2 linked regions of the Macaca mulatta genome follow. The protein of the gene in region 1 purifies or fractionates together with the protein of each later gene. This does not show direct contact. Links are inferred from orthologs where the notes say so. Each region holds a gene or a part of one and is shown in the gene's direction. Other genes may lie near its edges. The genes, in order: LRFN4 and NCK2.

The links.
Region 2: the proteins of LRFN4 (region 1) and NCK2 purify together in Homo sapiens (co-immunoprecipitation; 3 studies listed by BioGRID and IntAct, counting the BioPlex papers as one, with this or other methods). This does not show direct contact. The link is inferred for Macaca mulatta from reciprocal best matches to the Homo sapiens genes LRFN4 and NCK2.

What each region holds. Positions count from the first base shown.
Region 1 is NC_133419.1:7,545,782-7,550,362, reverse strand, and holds LRFN4 (leucine-rich repeat and fibronectin type-III domain-containing protein 4), read left to right. Parts: upstream 1-1,514; intron 1,515-1,652; 5' UTR 1,653-1,662; coding exon 1,663-3,011; intron 3,012-3,552; coding exon 3,553-4,111; 3' UTR 4,112-4,393; downstream 4,394-4,581. Other genes in the region: uncharacterized protein LOC144334105, read right to left, coding at 75-1,412. UniProt on the Homo sapiens protein: Promotes neurite outgrowth in hippocampal neurons. May play a role in redistributing DLG4 to the cell periphery.
Region 2 is NC_133418.1:13,841,878-13,846,173, forward strand, and holds the start of NCK2 (cytoplasmic protein NCK2), read left to right. Parts: upstream 1-1,395; 5' UTR 1,396-1,622; intron 1,623-4,296. UniProt on the Homo sapiens protein: Adapter protein which associates with tyrosine-phosphorylated growth factor receptors or their cellular substrates. Maintains low levels of EIF2S1 phosphorylation by promoting its dephosphorylation by PP1.

The sequences.
Region 1 (4,581 bases):
ACCAGGCTCGCCGAGCCACCCAAGCCCCCCAAGCCCCAGCTTTCTCCACCAGGAAGCAAGGAACCTCCCCCACCTCACGCCGGGAGCCCTTTCTCTGAGCCGAGCTGGTTCCGAGCCGCTCTTCCAGGAAAATGGCCCGGCGGGGACAGAGCGGGAAGGAGGGGCTGAAGGCGCTGCGAGGACGCACAGCTTCCCACTGCGTGCCCCCGGCCGTTGCGAAGCCGCGCCGCGCAGACCAATCCGGCCCGAGGCGGAGGCCGGTTGGCTCGGAACGCCTGGCCGGCGGGGCGGGCGGGGCAGCTGGGGAGGGAGGGAGAGGCAGCAGAGACAGGGCGGGGCGGCGGGGGCGGGGCGCCTGCCCAGAGGCCGAGCCCTCTCGGCCCCACCCCGCAGCAGCCTTGCCAGTGGGGCCGCCCCAGCCCCCCCACGGCCGAACCCCGTGCCGGTTGGGGACCCTCCACGTGACTCGGTGATGCAGAACGGTTATGACCTTCAGCGTGTGTCTGTGAACGCGAGGGTCCCAGCAACAGTGCGGGTTTGCGCTCGGCCCTGCCCGTGGGTGCAGGGACGTGTGGGTGTGTGGGCATGTGTGGGTGTGCTGGGGAGGGTGCCCAGCGACATGTGACAAAGACTCCCGTCTTCGGGAGATGGTGAAGGGGTCCGCGAGCAGGCGCTTTGTCTGGCTGGCTGCAGAGTGAGGTTCGCGCCGCGGCGGCGGGCGCCCGTGCGGTGCAGGATGCCGGGGCGCCAGGGTGGCCGGGGGCGCGCGCGCCTGTGCCAGGGTGAGTGCGCTGCGGCAGCGCCGGGGGGCAGCGCGGCGGGCCCGCGCCGGCCTGGGCCTCGGGCGTGACTGGGTGCCACCCGTGGGCGCTGCAGCAGCCGCGTGTCCCCGTGACCTCAGGAGCCGGCCCGGGCCCGGGTGGATCCCCGCGCGCCCCTCCCCGTCCGCCCTCCACGTGCGTGTCCACGGCGCGCGCGCCCGCCGGCGCGCACCCGCTCGCCTGTCGCCGCCGCCACCGCGAACCGCGCTGGGAAAAGGTGCCGGGAACCGAGCGAGCCGGGGCCGCGGGCCCGAGCGCCATGGGCCCGAGGGTGGGCGGCGGGCGGCCGGTCATCCCCGGGCCTCGCCCCCGCGGGAGAGCGGCCAGGAGTCGGCGGGGGCCGGCCGGGCTCGCAGGGAGGCCGGCCCGCGCCCCCTGAGCGACGGACACCAGGTGAGGGGGCCGCCGGGCGCAGCGCGGGGGCCGGCCTGGGTGGGGACACGGACTCCACGGGAGGTTCGGGGGGCGCCTTCTCTGGCGGGGGAGGGGATGGCGCGGAGGGGGGAGGGGACTGGCGATTCCTGGGAACGCCTGGGAAAGGAAGTTCCGGGACCCTCCCTGCTCTCCGTCCTCCTCCGCTTCCTGCCTCATGTCTCACCTTGTGCCCAGCCCCTGGACTCCCCCTTAACTGCTTGGGAAATGTGACCTTTGCTCTGGGGGGCCTGGCCCTGCAGGCCCCAACCTTCCCTCATCCCTGGCGGCCCTCTTGGGCCTCTGACCCAGCCCCTCCCCGGGCCAGGCTCACAGAAGCTGGCTTCTGGGACTGTCCTGGGCCCAAGTGGGCACCTGCGCCAGCCCCACCTGTGCCCGGGCTGTGGCCCTTCCCTACAGGGCACTCACCATGGCCCCGCCGCTCCTGCTGCTGCTGCTGGCCAGTGGAGCGGCCGCCTGCCCGCTGCCCTGCGTCTGCCAGAACCTGTCCGAGTCGCTCAGCACCCTTTGTGCCCACCGAGGCCTGCTGTTTGTGCCGCCCAACGTGGACCGGCGCACAGTGGAGCTGCGACTGGCTGACAACTTTATCCAGGCCCTGGGGCCCCCTGACTTCCGCAACATGACAGGGCTGGTGGACCTGACGTTGTCGCGTAATGCCATCACCCGCATTGGGGCCCGCGCCTTTGGGGACCTCGAGAGCCTTCGTTCCCTGCACCTGGATGGCAACAGGCTGGTGGAGCTGGGTACAGGCAGCCTTCGGGGCCCCGTCAACCTGCAGCACCTCATCCTCAGCGGCAACCAGCTGGGACGCATCGCGCCAGGAGCCTTTGACGACTTCCTCGAGAGCCTGGAGGACCTGGACCTGTCCTACAACAACCTCCGGCAGGTGCCCTGGGCCGGCATCGGCGCCATGCCTGCCCTGCACACCCTCAACCTGGACCATAACCTCATTGATGCACTGCCCCCAGGCGCCTTCGCCCAGCTCGGTCAGCTCTCCCGCCTGGACCTCACCTCCAACCGCCTGGCCACGCTGGCTCCGGATCCGCTCTTCTCTCGTGGGCGTGAGGCAGAGGCCTCTCCCGCCCCCCTGGTGCTGAGCTTCAGCGGGAACCCCCTGCACTGCAACTGTGAGCTGCTGTGGCTGCGGCGGCTGGCGCGGCCGGACGACCTGGAGACCTGCGCCTCCCCGCCCGGCCTGGCCGGCCGCTACTTCTGGGCAGTGCCTGAGGGCGAGTTCTCCTGCGAGCCGCCCCTCATTGCCCGCCACACGCAGCGCCTCTGGGTGCTGGAAGGCCAGCGGGCCACACTGCGGTGCCGGGCCCTGGGTGACCCCGCGCCCACCATGCACTGGGTTGGTCCTGATGACCGGTTGGTTGGCAACTCCTCCCGAGCCCGGGCTTTCCCCAACGGGACCTTAGAGATTGGGGTGACTGGCGCTGGGGATGCTGGGGGCTACACCTGCATCGCCACCAACCCTGCTGGTGAGGCCACGGCCCGAGTAGAACTGCGGGTCCTGGCCTTGCCCCACGGTGGGAACACCAGCGCTGAGGGGGGCCGCCCCGGGCCCTCGGACATCGCCGCCTCGGCTCGCACTGCTGCCGAGGGTGAGGGGACGCTGGAGTCTGAGCCAGCCGTGCAGGTGACGGAGGTGACCGCCACGTCAGGGTTGGTGAGCTGGGGTCCTGGGCGGCCAGCAGACCCAGTGTGGATGTTCCAAATCCAGTACAACAGCAGCGAGGATGAGACGCTCATCTACCGGTGAGAACATGCGCCCCACACCCGGCTGCACTCCTGGTGCCCTCCCTCCGCCCTCTGCTCCCCACAAGGCTTTGCTTTCGCTCCTCCTCTCTCTGGGGCTGAAAACCCCTCCCGGACCATGGCTGCTGGACTCTTGGAGGAGCAGTGGCCTGGCCTGGCTGCCTGAGGGGCTGGAGCTCAAGGGGTGGCAGGAGGACCCCACCCCATGAGATGTCCCAGGTGTCACTGAGCTGTGCAGGCCTCCTCCGGCAGCAGGTGGCGGTTGGGTCTGTTTGAAGCACATGGCCCGCGCCCGCACGCGTTATTTCTGCCCTGCTGGTGCCATCCCCCCACCCCATCCCCCTCGCTTGCCTGGGTCCTGTGCCAGTGCACACACCCATCTCCTGGCCACACTCTTGAGCCTGTTTGCCTTCCTGAGTAAATGCAAGAGCCCGAGTGGCCCCCGGGGGAGGGGTGTTTGAAGCTGGGAGCACGGGAGCGGGGAGGTGAGGATGGGGCTAGACCCCAGCCCCCAGCTCTGACCACCTGCCCTTGCCTGCAGGATAGTCCCAGCCTCCAGCCACCACTTCCTGCTGAAGCACCTGGTCCCCGGCGCTGACTATGACCTCTGCCTGCTGGCCTTGTCACCGGCCGCTGGGCCCTCCGACCTCACGGCCACCAGGCTGCTGGGCTGTGCCCATTTCTCCACGCTGCCAGCCTCACCCCTGTGCCACGCCCTGCAGGCCCACGTGCTGGGCGGGACCCTGACTGTGGCCGTGGGGGGTGTGCTGGTGGCTGCCTTACTGGTCTTCACTGTGGCCTTGCTGGTTCGGGGCCGGGGGGCTGGGAATGGCCGCCTCCCCCTCAAGCTCAGCCACGTCCAGTCCCAGACCAATGGAGGCCCCAGCCCCACACCCAAGGCCCACCCGCCACGGAGCCCCCCGCCCCGGCCGCAGCGCAGCTGCTCTCTGGACCTGGGAGACGCCGGGTGCTACGGTTACGCCAGGCGCCTGGGGGGAGCCTGGGCCCGACGGAGCCACTCTGTGCACGGAGGGCTGCTCGGGGCAGGGTGCCGGGGGGTAGGAGGCAGCGCCGAGCGGCTGGAAGAGAGTGTGGTGTGATGCACGGGCAGCTTCCTGTGTGCTCCAAGGGATGAGCCTCGTGGGGCAGAGGGCCCAGGGCGGCCACCTGGCCTGGGAGTCCCTCCCTGGTTTTTACTCTCGGTACCTCAGGCTCCCCTGTGTGCTTGGCGGGGCAGGGAGCCCTTTCCTCGGTTCTGGCCTCCAGACCAGAGTAAGGGGCAGGTCCCTCCAACAGGTGCTCACAGCCACCAAGGCAGGGGCTGCAGCCACCAATTGGGAGTCTTGTTTTTATTTATAATAAAATTGTTGGGGACACCTCAATGCTAGTCTCTGGTCTTGTCTGGCTAGGTCCCCCAAGACGGGAAGATGGGACACAGGCCAGTGGTAGCACACAGACAAGGGAGGGGCTACCGGGCCCTGTGGGGGCAGCCACAGCAGCCTCGGGCCTCCCGGCTTCCTGTCCATGGGGGCGGCCCAGGGCTGTGCCTGGTGCCTCTGGCCTGCAGGAG
Region 2 (4,296 bases), on another chromosome or scaffold:
GCTGTCCTGATTCCCTGAGCTTGTACCTGATCCCTGCTCAGTGTACTGTGCCTTCTTCCACTTACTGAGCTATTGAGGGCTACCTACTGCCAGAGTCCTTCACATAGGAGGTAGGTAAATATTATCTCCCCATTTGACAGATGTTAGAAAGGCTAAGACCACCTGTGCAAGGTTACACAGTTCAGGAAGTCAACAAACACTCACCTGTCTGACTTCAAAGCTACACTGACTCTAGTTACCTGTCCTTGGGTACTTCCTTTCTGGAAGGAAGCAGATGACTGAATCAAATAATACTGCCTTGTAACCTTGGATAAATTATTATTGTCTTAATAGTAAGCAGAGACCAGCAGCCTAAGAAAGAATCTCATTAACATGGATGCAGGCTATCCTGCCAGGAAATCAGAATCATTTGAATATTAGGATTTCCTTTGGGAAACCATATGGGGAGGAGAAAAGACATCCGGATGCATGTGTCTGTGAAAGGGAAACTTGCGTCTTTCCCCTTGCTTTTGGGTTTTAATCTTCCAAGTTTGTTTATAGGCTAGCCACAACTTGAGGCTGGGTGAGCTGAACAGTCCCATCATTAGCGACACTCCTTCTAGGGGCACATTCGGGCAGCTCCTCTTCGGATCCTGTCCCCATGGGTGTGCAACCAGGATTCCACTGGCTGGGGCTGGCCTGGATGCCTGGGAGGCAACAGAGGTCGAGTTTCTTCTCCCTTTAGGAAGTGCCTCAGACAGGGATGATGGACTAAAAACGTGTCTGGTTGGGAAAGTAAATAGATGCAAGACAAATAAATAAAAATGCCCACAAGCAATTACAAGGAGGAAGTGACATTTTTATTTAAGTCACTTTTCTGATGGACACCAGGCCTGCTTAGCTGAGTGCCGTGGGAATGCTTCCGGGAGGGGGGCGGCTGCCCAGCAACTACAGCTTCGCGATAAGGACATCAAACAAACAAACAAGAGGACGCAAAGCCCACCCGGCAGGCATCCCAGGCTGGAAGTTGCAGCCTATGTTTTCACTCTCCTCCCCACCCACCCAGCCTGCCCCCCACCGCCCGCGCGCAATTTCGGGCGTGGGGACCCTTTCCTGTCCCCGGCGCCGGGCCAGTGCTGCGCCTCCAGAGCGGAGCGTCCCGCAGCCCCGCGCTATACCCGCGCCCGTACCGAGACCCGGGCGCGGAGCCTGGCGGCGCCGGGGGGCGCCCCAGGTGGGTCTCGGGTCCCCGCCCCGCCCCGCGTGCCCGGGCCTGGGCCGGCCCCTGGGCGGCGTCACGGCGCTGCCGGGGAGGAGCGCGGGAGGAGGAGGAAGAGCGCGGAGGAGGCGGGCGCTGCGCGCCGGGGGAGGGTCGCCGCCGCCGCCGCCGCCGCCGCCGCCGCCGCGGGGATCGTCAGGCCGGAGCCGCGCGGCCGAGCGGACGGCGGGCGGAGGGGAGGGCTCGGCTGCGGGGAGGCTCGCGGCGCCCGGGCCGGCGGGGTCCGCCCGGGCCGGCAGCGTCCGCCCGGCGGCGGGAGGAGGGAGCGGCGCAGACAAAGAGCGGCGCCTGGGCGGGCGCAGCGCGGCCGCCGCCCCGGGACCCGCGCCGCTGCCCTCCGGCTCCGCGGGCGGCCCACAGCGAGGTAAGCACGGCCAGGCGGGCGCGGGGAGGGGGCCACAAACTTGGGGTCGTTGGGCGGAGTTGGGAGCGCGGCGGGGCTCGTGGGCCGGGGTGCGCCCGGGAAGGGGCTGCGAGAGCGGGTCGCCTCCGCGCCCCACCGGTACTCTCGGCCCCGCCGCGGCCTGGGCGCCCCCGACTGTGGGCTGCCGGGCATCTCCCGGCTCGGCACCTTCCTGCCCGCCTTCCCATCCCCAACCCCCACCATCGCGGCCCGGCGCAGAGGCGGGGACGCCAGCCAAGGGCGCGGGCGGGGATCAGGGCAGGGGGCCCGGCGGCGGGGCCCGGGGACTGGAGACCCCCGGGTGCGCAGGCTGCGCCTGGCCTGCGGGCGGGCGGCTGGCACGGAGCTCGGGGCTAGCGTGGGACCGTGCGGTGGCCAGGGTCGCCAGGGCGCGTGTGCCGGGGAAGAATAGCCGCGGATCGCAGGGCCCCGGCGCAGGGACCGGGGAGGCCGCGATCGGCCGGGAGAACTTAACTGTGTTTATTACAACTATTTATGATCGCGCACAAAGCTGCTGTCACATCGCATAAAGGAGGTCTTCGCTTCGGCGAAGGGAGCTTTTGTGCCCGGCTTCAGGCTCTGCGCCCTGCCCCAGATTTACAGGACTCTTACAGCCACCTGAACCAAAGTTTCTCACAACCGCTCGGCCCTCTCGGTGTTTTTCAGGGCGATTTAATCACCCAGTGGTTTTGGAAAAATTTGATGTGTGAGTTTTAAGGCATGGACGGTAACTCCCTTATGAGCACAGTTAGCTTGGCATTGTGGGGAGGGGTTTAATTTGCAAAACGCTGTAATTTGTAGACAATAAGGATCTCTGTGAAGGTCTGCGCTGGATGCTAGGGGTCATTGGCTGGTGGACCCCAGGCACCTGACTTAAACTAGTTTTGTAGCAGCTTCAGGGACAAAGCCGAGCGGGCGTGGAGTCGTGTAGTCGGCCTTGGTCACTTCTCACAATTCAGGTTGGCAGATTCCTCTTTATTTGGCTTTGTTTATTTTGCCAACAGGTTTAAGGCCGCTTCTGCCAAGTTTGCATATGCATAATGGGATGAGCAGGCCCCAGTGTGGGCAGGAGGGGGCCTAAAATATCGCATGGGCCAGCTCCATCCCTCGACCCAGAAAGAAACCACCCTGAGAGGCCGGTGGGCGTGGCTTGGTGGGACCCACAGGTAGGGGAGTCCCTTCCTGGCCCAGGCCCAGTCCCCGCTTCTCGGAAGGGATTTTGTGTAGTAATGAAAGTGATTCAGGGTGTTTTTCATGCCTCTGTTTTAGATGTAGTTATCAAGTCTCAAAAGTGACGGAAAATGAAATTAACCTGGGCTGCTTTACCTTACCGAAACGGAACTGTGCTTGTGAACACTCCCTCAATTCACTTTCCAAGCTTCATAGATAAGCAGGTGAATTAGTAACAGGATTCAAGCCTATGCGAGTTTTATGTAAAGAGAATGGCGGTCATCGGACACGTGGAGAAGAAATTGACTTCACCTGGAGATTGGGCTAGACATGGAAGTTTTTTGATGTTTGGAACAGGGATTTCCTGAGAAGCAAGTGTTAACCTTGCTTGTGAAGAAGTGAACACAAGGGAAAATCCTACCTCAGTATATTCTCCCCTGGAGGTTGGTTAGATGTAGTTTTGATTGGAGAAGGTGGCGGAATCTTAGTGGTCTTCTGGTGGCTACTTGAGGCTGAAATGGAGAACTTTAGGCATAGGAAGCTGTGGAGGTGCCTGGCCCACTTCCTGTCCGGGAGGCCTCTCCTGGATTCTGAGCTTCTTTCCTGCTTCATAAACATTCAGGGGGATTGATCATGAAACACTGGATGAAATTGGGTCACAAATTACCATCAGGAAGAGTTGGCTGCTGCATAAGCCCCTCTGTCCACTTGTGGAGAAACTGACCCTGTTAACCGTGGGGCTCGCTGAAGGTGCCTTGCAGGTGGCTGTGCTCAGTTTTCAGGCTTTGTGTTTTGCTTAGGACGCGCTGCATACTTAAATCTTCTTCATCCCTGCTCTCTTTGACCCTGACATATTCCCAGGCTCTGTCATTTACATTTTGGGTTATTTAGCTTTTCCAACAAACAGCAGATCTTATGTACACAGTACTATATTTGAGAAATGCACTATCATCCATTTTAAATACACCGGAAATCTTCCTTGCATGTGCACAGACTGGATAACCTTTTAAAATACCCTAAGACTCCGCGAATGGCGCAGAATGTACTGGAGTCCTTTACTTGATCAGTTGAGCTAGCTTAATTTGCCCTGGCTAGAGCAGGCTGTGCTGCTCTATGGGACACCCATTTTTCTAACTGCTCGGACTGGCTTGCCATGTGCACTGGGGGAGACAAGGCTTGTGGAATTCATTCTCTGACATTAAAAATGAGGCTTAATGACAAGAGCCCAAAATTGCTTCCCGGAACTGCAGGGGAGGATGATGAGCGATGTTTGGGAAAACTGTTTTCACAAGTGAACTGGAAACTCCCCACAACTGACTTCAGAGGCTTAGGAAATTAGTTTTCCCATCCAGAGGGATGGCAAGTGGCACTTCCAAATGGTTTCTCTTTCCTAAAATGTGTGATGGAAGTACTTCATGGCACGTTTTCAAAGGCCCTAAGCTAAAACGTGATTTCATGTGTGTTG